Linked DNA regions of Mytilus edulis. The protein of the gene in region 1 interacts with the protein of each later gene in a pairwise test. Links are inferred from orthologs where the notes say so. Each region holds a gene or a part of one and is shown in the gene's direction. Other genes may lie near its edges.

What was found.
Region 2: the proteins of peroxisomal membrane protein PEX13-like (region 1) and peroxisomal membrane protein PEX14-like interact in a two-hybrid assay, tested with the Homo sapiens proteins (2 studies listed by BioGRID and IntAct, with this or other methods). The link is inferred for Mytilus edulis from reciprocal best matches to the Homo sapiens genes PEX13 and PEX14.

Annotation. Positions count from the first base shown.
Region 1 is NC_092344.1:115,003,482-115,011,079, reverse strand, and holds the start of peroxisomal membrane protein PEX13-like, read left to right. Parts: upstream 1-4,226; 5' UTR 4,227-4,298; coding exon 4,299-4,381; intron 4,382-7,598. UniProt on the Homo sapiens protein: Component of the PEX13-PEX14 docking complex, a translocon channel that specifically mediates the import of peroxisomal cargo proteins bound to PEX5 receptor.
Region 2 is NC_092356.1:316,951-325,602, forward strand, and holds the start of peroxisomal membrane protein PEX14-like, read left to right. Parts: upstream 1-5,022; 5' UTR 5,023-5,110; coding exon 5,111-5,134; intron 5,135-7,478; exon of another isoform or gene 7,479-7,493; coding exon of another isoform or gene 7,494-7,514; intron 7,515-8,652. Other genes in the region: uncharacterized protein, read right to left, coding at 482-615, 2,504-2,568. UniProt on the Homo sapiens protein: Component of the PEX13-PEX14 docking complex, a translocon channel that specifically mediates the import of peroxisomal cargo proteins bound to PEX5 receptor.

The DNA of each region.
Region 1 (7,598 bases):
CAACACAGAAAGTTTTCTCTTGGCTATTTACAGGTTAAAACGTTCTCTCTATATATGTTACAGTGAATTTGTATAATCAGGGATTATGTAGAATCCCTGATTTTTCAGGGATTATATAGAATCACTAAAAACATTAGTGATTATATAGATTCCCTGAAAATGACCAGTGATTTTAGATAATCACTGATAATTTTAATTAGTATTCTACAAATTCCCTAATATGATTTCAGGGATTCTCAATAATCAAAAGCTTCAAAGATGATATCTCAAACCAATTACACTAGTGGTTCCAGCAAGGATTTATATAGTCTTACTATACAAATCCTTGGTTCCAGGAAAGGGAGATCCCAAAAAACTAATGGTCAATATTCACGAAAAGGCTGAAGAAGGATATCGCCTTGCTATATAGCATGGAATCCTGCTCGGATCCTTAATACAAGAAATCAGTTTGAGGTTGCTGATTACCCTTCATTGGTACAATATGTACCTTCAGATGTTTGTGCTGAAAACACTTTTTCTCTGAGAAGTGCCGTAAAATATCATTTGATTTGGGGGACAAGGTTTTTTTTTAATGTTGATATCGTAGTAAAAACAGATGTGAATTTGATAGATATGCCTGAAGAGAATCAGGGCAAATGTGTAATAGTCGATGCCATTCAAATTTAGTTTGTAAATAAAATGTTTAATATTAAAATATTATACATAACATTAACATTTATTAAAACAACTGTACGCATAAAAATAGTTTTAATGACAGTTTCATTTTAAATTATTTCATATTCTCAACCTAAAAACAATTGCTAAAACAATACGATAAAAAGAATAATCATTATGCAATTTAATATTTTCATACTGACTTCATCAACCTGCCCGTGTGGGCTCGCTTGATATTATTATTACTAATAAAGTCGTCAATTATTCCATATATATTTTGCTCATCATTCAATTATATATATATATATTGTGCTTATCATTTGATTATTTTGTGTATAACATTTCAATATTTTTGTGTCTTTCATATTAATAAATTATGCCTAACGTTTAACAATAGTAAGGTTATTATTATGATATATTAAGGTAAACTTTTAAGATATTTCAATATGTTATATATTTTAGTATCATTGTAATGCAGGAAAAGTGGGAAGAATCGCTGTTCTGTCAGGTTGTCTCCCCTTTCCCTCCACAACGTTAAGTATATTAAAATCGAGGGACTGCCATCTTTCACTTGGGGACTATCCTCGCTCGCTTATACGGGTATTCTAACTTCTTTCGGAGAATCTGGGGAATACTAGCTCGCTCATATTCAGGTCTATGTTATGCCTTCTTCTGGCGTGTCCCTCATCTCGGACACTTGTACTTTCGAGGCCTGGCGCTGGTGAATAAAATACAATGATGTTTCAGCAATTATTTATTCCAAACAGTTATCTACATTTAAGTGTGATATTGTGATCTGTGATTTAAATAGTAAACTTAGTTTTAACTTATATATATTAATGAAAATCTTTTATAAATTTAAGTTAAGTTTTAAATATCAAAGTTATTAAATCAGAAGATAAATTCTTACTTTAAAATTCATTTGAAAATGGTTTATACTTTAACAATTTACATACCTGGTGAATAAAATACAATGATGTTTCAATTATTTATTCCAAACAGTTATCTACATTTAAGTGTGATATTGTGATGTTGGGAGGTTGCGGTCTTCCCTTTTTAACCCCAACATCACGTGCTGATTGGAATTATACTGACCGACTTTAGAAACGCAACACTAGATTAATTTTGTGTTATTTTTTAATGAATGTGTCACCGTCAAAAGCGATGACTGCCTGTTACAAACGCCAAAATGATTGTCAGAAAGGTCAACAAATTCTGTCTGACATGTTTTGGGTACTGATTTACACCTTCTGATTTTGCATTTGTTCAACCCATTTATTGGTTTTGGCTGTTATGCGGTTGGAACTTGATGGCTTTAAAGGTTTTCTTCAGTCGATTCTTTGGCAATTCAGTTGATGGGAAACATTTATGGCATGAATCTGTACTCAATGTCACTCGGCAATTTGAATAGCATTTGACGTTGCGGCCGTAAACATGTCTGGCAAATGACGTTGCGAAATCAACTTCGGTTGATGTTTCATTGTCACTACTCGTTGGTCTGTTCATTGATGGCCAGCAACAAATCTTGTCTACTTGTATCGTTGTCGGAAGGACAGTAAGAGGAGTTTCTGAAGTCATACAGAATGGTTGCAGCACGTTTATGTTTTCATGTTTGCAGTTCAAGAACCACAGTTAAGTCAGATTTTCATTTTTTGTAATGAGAAAGAAGTATGATAAGCACGAAAAGAAGTAATAAGAGAATCAAACAAGATTTGGTAAAAAAATCAACAAAATGAGTGTTGCGTTTCTAAAGTCGTTCAGTATATTTTATTCACCTATGAAATTTTAGCGTCAATTTTGAATTTTCTAAAGGTACGTTTTATTGGTCAACTGTTCTCTTTTTATGTTATAGATTTATATGATTGACATATGTTGTATTTAGTTACGTAAAAGCAATTAAAGGATTATCAAAATTATCAAAATCTTTGCTTACTTTACAGAATTATTAATTGGACAATAGAAACACTTTAGGTTTATTTTCCTACGGCAAATTACAAACATTTTTATTCTTTTAAAAGATGACAGTTTATTTAACTTATTTCTCAACGTCAGATTAATAGCTATGATCAAAAGAACTCTAGAAATGAGATTAACTATATTATTTACAAAAAGACGAAACTATTTATAACTTAACCTTACGTCACCTACTTTGTCTTAGAGCTTAAGCAATGCAATAAAATTCCATTTTATTTATTTATTAGTTTATTTCTCTAAGTTTACTTTATTTTATTTTCCTTTTCCAACATACAATTTTCCATCATTATATCATTTCAGTTATTCTGTATAATCCCTGACGTTTTTTCTAGTGATTATACATAATCCCTGAAAGTTTTAGTGATTATATATAATCCCTAAACTAACCAGTGATTATTCATAATCCCTGAAAATTTTAAGGATTCTACATAACCCCTGATTATACAAATTCACTGTAACATATATACACAATTAAAATTATGTACAGGATATTACTGTGTTATTTAAGCAGAGCATGCCTTTAGGGCAGCTCTGATTCCTTCAACTGTGTCATCTGATGTCGCTGATGTTGGCAGTTGGTTCAAGTGTCTCTGATGGTCCTAGGCCTGAGAAAGGATTGGTCCAAGGAGTATGTTGTAGCCCTTTCTTGAAAGAAGCGGTTTTTACCTCTGGTCCGGCTATCGTTTGGCGTCAGATATTGGTGCCGATCTATGTCTATTAGATCATGTGGAATTTTAAACAGCATACATATTCTATTTTGTTTCCTGCGGTCTTCAAAGCTTAATTTTCCATTTTAAAGATGTTACCGTTTTTGTTACACAGCCAGGTGTGCGGTCTGTGTAGTTGTTGTTTACGAATCTGGCTGCTCTTTCTGTACTTGTTCGATTGTTTTTACTTTAGCCTGTTTTGTAGGGTCTCATACCGTGCAAGCATATTCAACTGAAGGTCTTACTATTGTTGAATATGTTACTGCTTTAATCGGTTTAGTGCAATCTTTTATGTTACGTCGTACCTAACCCATACCTAAAACTAATACACATCTAACTCTAAAATCTAACACTAACCTAGAACAAGGAATTGTATATTTACACAATTCCTTGCCAGAACCACAGGAAATTTGTTTTCCCTATATACCTCTATATAACAAGGTATATAGGCTACTCACAGAGTTACTTTCAAGAGGTGTGCCTGACACAAAGGTTTTATATATATACTAATATGCGAAAACTGTTGTTTCTTATTTGTGTTTGTAACTATGTGTTGTTTATTATATTTGTAAAAGAATATTATATTACAATGATATTATATTATGCTCCTTGTGAGCCCATTTTATTGAAATAAAGCATCTTCTTCTTTTTCTTCTATAGGGAAAACAATTTCTGAGACAAGTGCCTGTGCCTAGAACATTCCCTAACCAGCTATCCTAACCATAACCAAGATTGAAGAATGAACCCTAACTCTTAATTATAGGGACTCTTAAAGTAAAATAAATTAATTTGAACGTATTTGTCTGAATCGAAAAAAAAATTGGCATAATATATATATATTTTCTGGTATTTAGATCGTTTTATTTTCCGGATTTGTTTCACTTCATATCCGTCATTGACTTATTTTTACATTTCACAGTCCCAAAATTATCATCTCAACCACCCGTTTCAACCCATGGGGGAATGGCAGCACCTCCTAAACCCTGGGAAATTGCAGGTGTAAATCAACAAAATGCTGGAAGTATTCCTTTAAATAATATGTCAGGGTAAGTCCATGTCTAACTGTTATTTCAAACATTTGTTGTACAATCTTGCATCCTACATTTTGACCGAAAAACAACTCTTATCTATCAATCGAGTCACAAACATTTTCGTATATCATCTTCTTCTTCTATACATTTAACATGTTAAATATTCTGACATTGTGATGTTTATGATCCCATTATTGTTTTTCCTTTAAAACTTAAAAATTACAATTTAGAATTACTCAGCCTCCGCCCTTCTGTTGAGTGTTGTGCAAGACCAAGGATTTGTTTAGGCCAGAAATTAGGGTTGTAATGTAGATACCTTCATAATGAATAATGGTAAAAATTCTTGCCAAATGAAGTTAACGGTAATTTTTGGTTCATGATGATAAAATGTACACTTTCTTTTAGACGATAAAAAAATCTACTGATTTTAACGCATCACGTTTCCAAAAATGCTGGTAAAATAAACCTCTGACGAATCAGGTTAATATTTTAATCAATTCAACCCCTGACGGTAAAGGGAATAACTACCCTCTTGTATAGACTATATACAATCTGTGGGTTGTGGAAGATTCCATTCTCATTAATTTGTTACTTTGATGATATATTCCTAGGCCTTCAGCAACAAGGTAGGAACTTCAAGTTTATCTTGTGAATCCCCTGGTTCATTTGATAATTCACACACAGGGATAAACCTATTTGAGATAGTTGTACCTTTTAGGGGTTTGTAAACAACCAATTGTGCAATAAACTGAATAATTATTAAAAAAAAAAGGAACTTCAATTTTGTTCTTGGACATGAACATGTAGGTTAACCTATGTAGGCACAGCGACAGAAGAGGCAGGAATAATTAACGAGTTCTGGGTTTAATCTAGTCCAAATATATTTATGATGTCTTAATTTAGAGCCTAACAGCTTTAAGTCAAATATAATAGCCTTTCTAGACATTTATTGGTATTATACCTCAAAACATATAAAATGTAACCTGCCTTATCCAACACCTGAGTATTCCAACATCCTGCTTTAATCGACACATTTTCATGGTCCCATAATATGCCTATCATTGTAGAAAAAACCTGAGTATTCCGACACCCTGCTTAATCAGACATTATTTTCTGGTCCCTCAGTGTGTCGGATAACACAGGTTGTACTGTACATTATATCCCAATTTTAATGATGGAATTTATAAGAATGTTTGCACCATGATCATCATTATGATAAAATATTAAAAAAAAAATTTTTTATCACTGCATAAAGATCGATACCTGATTTTGGATATAATAACCATAACTAGTAATAGTGCCCATTTATGAGGACCATCCCCAACCTGTGAAACTTTTTAGTTTTGGCCTAACGATTGTCCTGTCAAATATGAAAAATGCTAAAATGTCTCCATTTTTGGAAGGGTTACTGCAGATTTGGTACCAAGGGTTATAATAACATTTTATTTATAATGAATACATGTATAAGAAAAGAAAATTAAACTAAATAAATGATTTTAAGAGTAAGTAAACTTGACCAGACTGACATTGAATTTACCCTTACTATTGTTTTGACCAACATGAAATTACAATCAACTTTTTTATACGACCGAAAATTTTTGCAGACGTATATTGGTATCACGTCATAGTCGTCAGCGTCGTTCGAAAACGAATGGTTTCCGGTTAATAACTAGTATACGCTAATAGAAATCAGTAAAATTTTAACACAATGTTTATAACCACAAAAGGTAGCTTGGGATTGATTTTGGGGGTTATGGTCCCTAAGGTTAAGGAATTAGGGACCCAAAGGGGCCTAAAACAAGCATTTATCTATTGTCAGTACAAACAGTTGTGTATAAGTATTTCAATTGTTCTGAAATTGTACCACAATGTGAAATTGTACCACAATGTTTAATACCATACATAGAAGGTTGGGATATATTTTGTGGGTTATGGGGAAAACAGTCGTAAGAAAAAACAAGCATTTTTTTAGTTTCAAGACTATAAATTGGAGTTGTCTTTCTTTGTCCAGAATGGTTGTTGAATCACCTAAAACTAAAATGTAATGCTTTATGAAATCTTCTTTGAAAATTGGAGTTATCTTTCTTTGTTCAGAATAGTAGTTGCTATATACAATATACAATGCATTATTCACTTTACTACCAACTGATAAATTAAAGCAGTGATTACAAGCACTTTGATTACCATTCTAGGGTTATGCCCCTTTACAAATGGAAAAATTGAAGAATTATTTAGTTTCTGTTCTCTTAACTTAAGTTTGTCTCAACTAAATTTAATAAAATGGGTATCTAATGCTTATTACCTCTAAACTCAGTTTAAGTTCAATTTTTGGCAGTTTCACTTTTACAGTTCTTGAGTTATTTCCCTTTATAACATTACAAACATGTATATGCTAGCAGGGGCATCATCTGTGTCCATTTGGACACATTCCCCATTTATTTTTTTAAGAAGTTACTATTGATTAATATTAAAGTCATATGAAACCTCAAATTAAAAAAAAATATGCATATGTTTTTTAAAACTAAATGGATAGTTTTCATTATACAACTTATGTACATATACTTTTTTCTGAGGAAAATTCTTTAATTTGTCCACATTTAGAAGAAGTTTACATATTTGTAATTGCTTGCTGCCAGGGCAGGAAGCAATTCGCCGACATATTTTCCGTATGCATAGTGACCTAAGCTTGACCCTCCTCGTAAAAATCCGGTGATAGCAATACGCATGAATCCGTCATTAAAATTAACAATTACCTGATTGTATATGTTAAACACGTGCTAAATACCCATGCTTTTTGTTGATTATTTACTATAAGGTGACAATCGGTAAACTTCGGCTTCAAAACACGGCATTTAATGAGTAGCCATATTTGTTAAATCATAACAGACAGATTATACGATATATTTGCGTAAAAAATGATAAATTCGTGCACAGAGAACTAAGTTTATGATTTATACATGCATTGGTTCAAGAATTGGATGAACATTATTTTTCACCAGTCACTCGTTTCTTATGACTTTAATTTTAACCATGACTGAATGACATTTTATATTTTGATATTTTATGATGTATTTAAATGAGTAGTTATTGTTGTTGCAAACTCCATTAGAAATTTGAATGGAAAGGGGGAGGTGACAAAAAATTTGGGGGGGGGGGGGTCAATTTGTCTCAGTTCAGATTTCAGAAATTAAAAAGAAAATTTCTTCAAATTTTTTGTTGTTGAGAGGATTAA
Region 2 (8,652 bases), on another chromosome or scaffold:
AGGAATTCCTGGAATGAACAGATAATGCTACTTCACATAAACATAAATGGTATGCTGGCAACCATACGGCCTTCAACAATGAGGAAAAAACATACCGTTTAACAAGCTATAAAAAGCCTCGACATGAAAAATATGAAACAAGACAATTGAGACAACCATTGTTCCGGGGTACCTTCGATCACTTTCATATTTTCGGGCGTTCGTATTGCTCTGTTTTTATGGTTACAATGTTGGGTTTGTGTACTACTGTTTGTCTGTCTTTTTCCTTTTCTACCCATGTGGTTGTCAGTTTATTTTCAACTTATAATATAGGAAGATAGTTTGAATGTCCCTATCTTTCGCCTTTCTTTTATATCTTATAAACAAGTGGCGGATAGAGAATGTGCCCTTAATGATTGAATGCTAAATAGTTATTAGAGTAAATTAGTTTTCTAAGAATATAAAAACTATTTACATGCACGAAAAATACTATTTTACATACGTGATTCTCTCAGCCGTTTCTTCATACCAGACATATCTTTCAACACAAACAATGACAAGGGAAGACCACGAAGATGACGAGGTTGTGTTACATGTTCTAATAGAAGTCGAGTATACCATTCTATTATATCAATGCTGAAATAATGTGAGTGATAATTTATGTATTTAGTCAAATGTTTGTACGAAAAACGACTCCGTGTACTTCAGAATGTATACGAACTTTGAGGTGACTTTTGTTTCTTTTTTTCATTGGGTTTCTATCTCATTGGCCTCAGATCTTTCATTAGTTATACCCAATATATATAGCTGCATATAAGTTAGTCATTTATACAAACTCGGGAATTTCGCCAATAGTTGTCATTTCTCTGATCTTCATCGTTTTTTTTCTACATATATTGAATGTACATCTTTTTTGGTTTATTGGCCTTCTTGGCAATGTCTTGTCTCGTAAAAAGCAGACATCACATTATTTTCATTGAGTGATTTTCATTTTCTTGTTTTTAAGTGATAAAGCCTCTTAAAAGCAGACTAATTACTTTTACCATAAATCATATGTATACCTGTTCCATGGTCCTTCTTTTTTTAAATAAAAAAGAAAAAAATGTAGAGACTTAGAATTCGATTATCTTATAAATGATCCAATCCTGTATGCATGTTTGTATAAATGGCCCTGATATGGACAGTCTAAAAAAATCCAATAGGAACTAAAAACAGGAGGAAACTTGCAGTTAAACAAAATTGTAGAATAATAAACCAACAAAATCCTATTCCAAATATAACTGAAGTACAAGACATGTCAGTACAGACAGAGCCTGTTGCTCTTTCAAGTTTAAGTGACATAGAGGAGGTAAGGCTTGTAGTGCAGGCTGCAATAAAAAAAATGTATCTTGACTTTGACATTGATGGTGGAGATGAGGATGATGATGAACAAAATGAAAATGATATATAACAACATGTTTTAATTGAATCAAATAAATCAGATTGATATAATTATATTTGTATTTAATTACTCAATACAGGGACAATGAGAAAAATTACTAAGTAACTTAAACTACAAAGAACTTTACTTATTGAAAATACCAAAGTGTTAAGCATGATACATGTAACTTTTATCCCTCAAAATACAAGAGTAGATTTTTTTATTGTCAGTGGAGATAAGCCATGTATTTCTCATTGATTCTCATAAAAATATTAATTAGAATGTAAATTTTTATACTGTTACACATAAAAAACATCTTAGTCAAAATGCAAATATGGTATGATGTATGGGTGCAGCCTATGATAAATTATAATACTTATTCATGAAATATAATAATATTTTTTCTTGTGACAGACACAGTCAGTGTCTTGCAGGAAAAGACACTGAACCAAGAGGATTGAAATTTATGATTTAGTCCTTGTACTACACATTTTCGAAACTTTTTTATGCTTTCTTATAACTCACCAAAGCTACACCATTGAAAAAAATGCCAACATTACAAGTTATTTTGGATTAATTTGATCTATCACCTATTCCTTAAAACCCATGAGCTTCCGGGGGACGTTGCCCCCCTGAAACCTCCACGTGGCTTCGCCTTCGACCTGGCCGGGGGCCTGAGCGGCACCCGGACCCCGCGCTTGCTCTGCTACATATCAACTTCAATCAGTTATTTCAAAACTTATTGAAAACCCTGAGTACTAAACAGGAGTAAAAATCTTTTTACGGTTATCCTTTTATATAAGATATGTCCTCATGTACTGACATGATTGATAACAAACCTTTCTAAAATTGTCCGTTTATATTTTTTTCACATTATAAAGAAACTAATTTTTCCAAAATTCAAAGCTTACATTATTACATTATTAGGCTAATAGAAGCATACAAAACATTGTGTAAGTTTTATAGAAAGGTTACACATGGCAATTACACTCTATTTATTTTGTATGACCGAAAGTCTTTTCTGGATCTACTTTTATCACAGTACATGTATAAACAACTAATCGGGTCATAAAAGCTAACAATGATGTAATACAATGTACTTACAGATCAAATTCCTTTTTAATTTGATAGAGATCAGGAATAAGAACATTGTCCAGAGTACAGAACATTGTGTTTGTGTCTTGTCTGTCGCTCTACACAGTATAGAACATTGTGTTTGTGTCTTGTCTCTCGCTCTACACCTACATTACATGGCTGCTTTCTCTGTCCTGTTGTGTTGTCTGTTTCTAACGTTGTTGGCACGGGACACAGTCAAACGTAGTAAACGAGTTCACTGTGACGTTGTGTTTTTTATAAAGCAAAGAGTAAATTGAAGAAGAAATCAGGGGTAGCCAAACTATCTAGAAAAGTTGTCGTGTTGTTTCTTCGTTTACATGGTTTAGATTTGAACAATTAATACCAATTGAAGTTTTACTTCTAGTGCATAACAACACTGCGGTGCAGCCTTCGTTTCCTAAAAAAATCTAAATTAACGTCAGCTTATTCTTTTTATTGCTACTTCTTAGTTGAGTGGTATTTTTTATTGTTTAAAATTTTGTGTATTTATGTTAAATTCTTTACATCGATTTTATTTTAGGGCTGCTATATGAAAGCAATTTACAATTTTTTTCTTCGTCATTTTTTTCTTCTTCAAACTTAGTTAAGTTTAATCTTTTATAATAAAACTTGTGTGGATGACTATATTTGCTAGCCTAAGATACAACATTTGCAAGCTTTCTTAGTGTTTAAATAAATATATGAAGATGTGGTATGACTGAGTGGTAATGAGACATCTCTCCAACCAAGTCCCAACTTGTAATAGAAAAAAAACACATATAGGTCAAAGTATGGTCTCCAACAAGGAGCCTAGGATCACACCGAACAACAAGCTATAAAGGGCATAGAAATGACAAGTTTAAAACTATACAGACGGGAAAACCAACAGTTTAATCTATTAAAAAAACGGGAAACACTTATGAACCCCATCAACAAACGACAACTACTGAATATCAGGTTCCTGACTTAGGACATGAAAATTGAGAATGGAAATGGGGAATGTGTCAAAGACACAACAACCCGACCATAAAACAGACAACAGCAGGAGGTCACCAACAGGTCTTCAATGCAGCGAGAAATTCCCGCACCCGGAGGCGACCTTCGGCTGGCCTCTAAACAAATATATATACTAGTTCAGTAATAGTGATTATCTATCTGATAAATTTACTGCTTATAGGTTGCATTTCTGTAAATATTAACTATGTAATTTCCCTTAGGAACTCCGTTTACGGCTAAGACTGTTCCACTTTTACTATGTAATTTCCCTTAGGAACTCCGTTTACGGCTAAGACTGTTCCACTTTTACTATGTAATTTCCCTTAGGAACTCCGTTTACGGCTAAGACTGTTCCACTTTAACTATGAATTTTTGATAAAAATAATATCATAGGATAAAGGTTTATATGCACTACTATTTTTTCAAAGGTCAAACTATAGGGCTGTGCGGCATATTTTCAACGTGTATATATGCCCTGAACTTCTAAGAGTTTAACTTTACACTAAAAGTTTGTGCTACTCCTATACTTGACTTCCGGTGGACCACAGATTTCAATTTGACGGTTATGCATTTGTGTATCTACTGGTAACATTCCCAAGTTATTTTTCTACAAGATGAAACATATAGACATCATATCTGGGAACCAGTACGTGAAAAAAAACTATGAATGTTTATATATTCCCAAAAGAGGAGTGATTTGAGAAACAGCTGTATTTATAAAGTGCAACATATATATACTGATCTTTATAATCAGTATTCGCTCAAGTAGCATAGGGAGGCTGGTTAATAAAAGCTTTCTCCAAACTTCTTACTGAATCCTATATTTGAATTTTATGTAAGATTGCTATACTTTGCTGTTGTATTTTTCAGTATTAGATACTGTTTAAACTAATTAAGGCTTCTTCATCATGTTCGTGTATCAAGACCTAATTCGTTTTTTTTTTTTCTTAAACCGAGAACAATTAAATATGCTAGTCTGAGTACAAGGATTGAGAATAACTTTATAGATATAATTTAAGAAATAAATAATTTATATTCATTTAGGATTAAATGTTCAAACTTTTTTTTCAACTATACAGAATAAATAAACCAGCAACTCTCACAAATAATCTTACAATTAAAACCTTTTTTTTTAAGTTTGAGTTGCAAGCAAGTTATGCTATAATGAGTATGTATTTTTACTCTTAAGAATTTTTTTGTGAAAAGTGCATGCCGCTGAATCTGTTTTTTTTTTTCGTTTTTTTTTTAAATTATTGAAAGCATATGGGTTAATCGATATTTAAGCTGTTATATACATCTGTATATAGTTAAACGTACGGTATTACATGTATTTTATTTTGTTTGTATCTTTCTTTTTTTTCTATTTGTATTTATGATTTTCGAAGGCCTCAGAGAAGATCAACATGTCATTGTTAAATAAGTAACCTTCGTTAAATAATTAATTTCATTAGTCTTATAAGAACAGGATTAAAGATCTACACCTACATCGGGATCAAAATCAATGTATTAAATTTTCCCAAAATTAATACAGGGTTTTAGGTAGTTTATTACAGATCTGGTTCCTGGTTCAAAATATGTGACATTTTGTGTCTGTAGAATTTAAAAGATCCAGTTTAAATCATGACAGACGAAACAAATAGAAAGGTTACTATTTTTCTTTCCCACACTTATGTTTGACACAGTTATGTGTTGTCAGTTACATACGAAGACAAGATAAATTGTTTGAATAAATCTACGTTTTATTAATGTTTTAAAAGCCCTGAAAACCTCCCTCTTCGTTGACTCTTGTCGTTTTTTTAAAGTTCAAAGTCCAAGCATAGTTCTAGTTTTTTTTCTTTGACGCCTTAGGCATGTTAGGGACGACCTCAAAAGTTCAATGAAGGATAAAAAACTTAATTCACTTTTGATGTCGTCCCTTACTTCGACGTCGATTCAGAAATTTTGTCCGAGCCCAAAACATGTAGTTGATAAAATTTTTGAATTGTAGCTTCAATTTTTTTATTTTACCATTTTGTCCGATACAAAAATAAATTTTCTCTGAGTGATGACATTACATTGTATAAGTTACATGTTTGCTACTGACCATGCTGATAACTGCAGCCCATGCCCATGGATCCATAGAGTCTTAAGAGGGTAAGTAAACTCCATAGAAGTGGGGATTTTACCCACACTCTTTTGTCTGTAGAGGGTCAGTAGTGAACTTTATATAGAACTTATCAAACACTGTACTTTAAAATATATATGCTGTGTTTAAAAACAACAACAATGAAATACAATTAACATTAGATTACATGCCTTGAATCCCATATTAAATTTATTAATCCCATATTAAATTTATTAATCCCATACATCTTGTACATGTATATGGGGCAATATGCGCAATTGTTTCTCCACAGGCCGTAATGGTAACGTCTTCTTCTCTAGCTCAGCCAATATCGTAAACTTGTATATGATGGCTGAATCCATGACAAGTCGCCCCACTGGCAAGTCGCCCCACACCTAATCGCCCCACTTTTTCACCAACTCGCCCCACTTTAAAAAAAACGCCCCAACCTGGATTACCAAATCGCCCCACTTTTTAAAAAATCGCCCCACTTGTGAAATGTGTTAAATCCCGTTAATATTACTCCTGAAAACTCGCCCCACTGAATGGAAAACGATAAAATCTAGATTAACATATTATTAACCAGGATGAATTTAGTAAAGCCAACTCGCCTTACAGATGTTATCCCGTTGTATATAACTTAAATTCCGTGAATATTACTCCGGCCAACTCGCCCCACTTATGGAAACGGATGTTATCCCATTGAAAACCTTATAGAAACTTCTTATATTATTCCTTTTTTTTTTAATATAGCAGTAAGAAGTGAGTTAATATTTCGGTAACGTGAATGTCAACTAGCCCCACTTATGAATAGTACATGTATGAATAGAGTTAAAGGCTACCAACTAGCCCCGCTTACGAATAAAATAATTAAACTGAAATGTGTGTTGGCTTTTTTCGGTTTGTTTGTATTCTGTGTAGATTAGTTTTCATTTAAGTGGGGCGAGTTTTTATTTTTAATTTTATATTAATCTAAATATTACCGTTTTCCATTAAGTGGGGCGAGTTGGCAGGAGTAATATTAAACATGATTTAACCAATTTCACATGTGGGGCGATTTTTTTAAAAGTGGGGCGAGTTGGTGATCCAGGTTGGGGCGGTTTTTTTCAAAGTGGGGCGAGTTGGTGAAAAAGTGGGGCGATTAGGTGTGGGGCGACTTGCCAGTGGGGCGACTTGTCCTGCTTCCATGATGGCTTGTTTCGAAGCTGAGACATTTTCACATGTGTGGATAAATTTTTGGGGTATGAAGAGTGATTCATTTTTCGGTAAATTAGCATACCCTGACAATCCTTTCGTGAAGCGACTCTTCATAGTAAAAAGTCCCTTTTTTCACACAATGTCTGAACATGCTGAAAATTTAATACTTTGAATACATATATAATAATAACTCCATAGTTTTTACACATTTATTCTAAGGTCCTATACTTTACAGATCAACACAAATGGTCAAGCTCAGTCATTTGTTAAAAATTGAAACATGTCCAATATCACTACACAGAGATTTTTTGTAAATTTACAAACAACTTTTGTGTTCTTCAATCGGAGGCACATCAATTTAGTGATACATGTATTGTCCCATATGGATCCATAAGGGGTTACCATGTGATGGCCTTAAACCCTATGGATCCATAAGGGGTTACCATGTGATGGCCATAAGGGGTTACCATGTGATGGCCATAAGGGGTTACCATGCGATGGCCTTAAAACAATCACAATATCATAATTTACCTGTGGTGCAATAAAATATTTATTCCCAGTTCACTAACTTTAGTTCAGTGATATTGTTTGCCTCAAATTACAGCCGAAATTCGGCCTTTTCCCCATGAGAAAATTCCCAATTACAAAAAAAAAATGGCTTAAAATTCCTCATCAAAACTTTTACATTTTCTCCAAACAGTGATGGCATTGGTAGTAATGTTGGTAAATATCGTATTCATGTTATTATTTTGCTATTAGAAAGCACGTTTGAAATCCGGTTTTCTGATCAGAATCATCATGGTGTTTGTAACACATGTAGTTTTCAATGCATTAAGTACCATCATTGCTTCTGTTTCTTTCCCCTCTCCGAAAGTACCTTTCAGGTTGAAAATGTCTGACAGCCAAAATATACATGAAAAAACAGTGCCAAAAAGACAGCAAAGGTCAGCAAAAAATCGGAGATGTGTTGAGAATAAAATATACAAATTTCCCAATTTCAATAAAAAATATGCATTTTTCCCAGTAAAAAACGGTAGAGGTAGTTTTGAAAAAAGACAACAATATCACTGTAGTTTGCCTTGAATAAATATTTTACAAAATGCTTATTACCAAACATTGGATAAAGATTGAATTTGGGAGGTGTCTGACTTTTAACTTTCTGAGAAAAAAAAATTAAAAGAAGAAATGGCTCTAGGATTTCGAACAAACATCAGTCAGGGATATAACTCTATAGGGTTATTACAGGAAAATAACATACATTTTTTATTGTAGACTAAAAAATCAAAGAACTGTGATAACATATGTATGTTACATGTTTCAAAGGGACAATATACATCATTAGTTTCATTAAACTATGTAAAAGTTCTATTGATATTGCTTTTGTCTATATGTATACTTATATGTTATCACAGAAAAAAATATGCCTTTTAATAACTAAAGGGTGTTATCACAGCTTCTCTATATCACTTCAAAGGATTTGCTCAGACACAGATCATGCTTAATTACAATGTATTTTAATTTATTGTAAGAAATAATGACCAGAGCATGTAATGAGGTTCTGCGCAAGTTTCTCAGTAATTCCCAAGTGTCTTATATAATAAGTTACATTCCTTTAATAACTAATCCTTGTTATTACAGCTAAGTTTATCCCTTAATAGCCTCGTCTCATTGCTTTACCATGGTTAATCAAAAATGTATGAATTTAATTAAGAAATTTCTTATCAAGGCTATGCATTTAGTTTCTGCACAAAGTCTCAAGAGTTCCCCTAAGAGCCCACTATAAATGAAATAATTTTACAAATAACAAACATATGTTATTACAGATTTAGAAAATTTTAGGAAGAAAATCTGTTATAACACA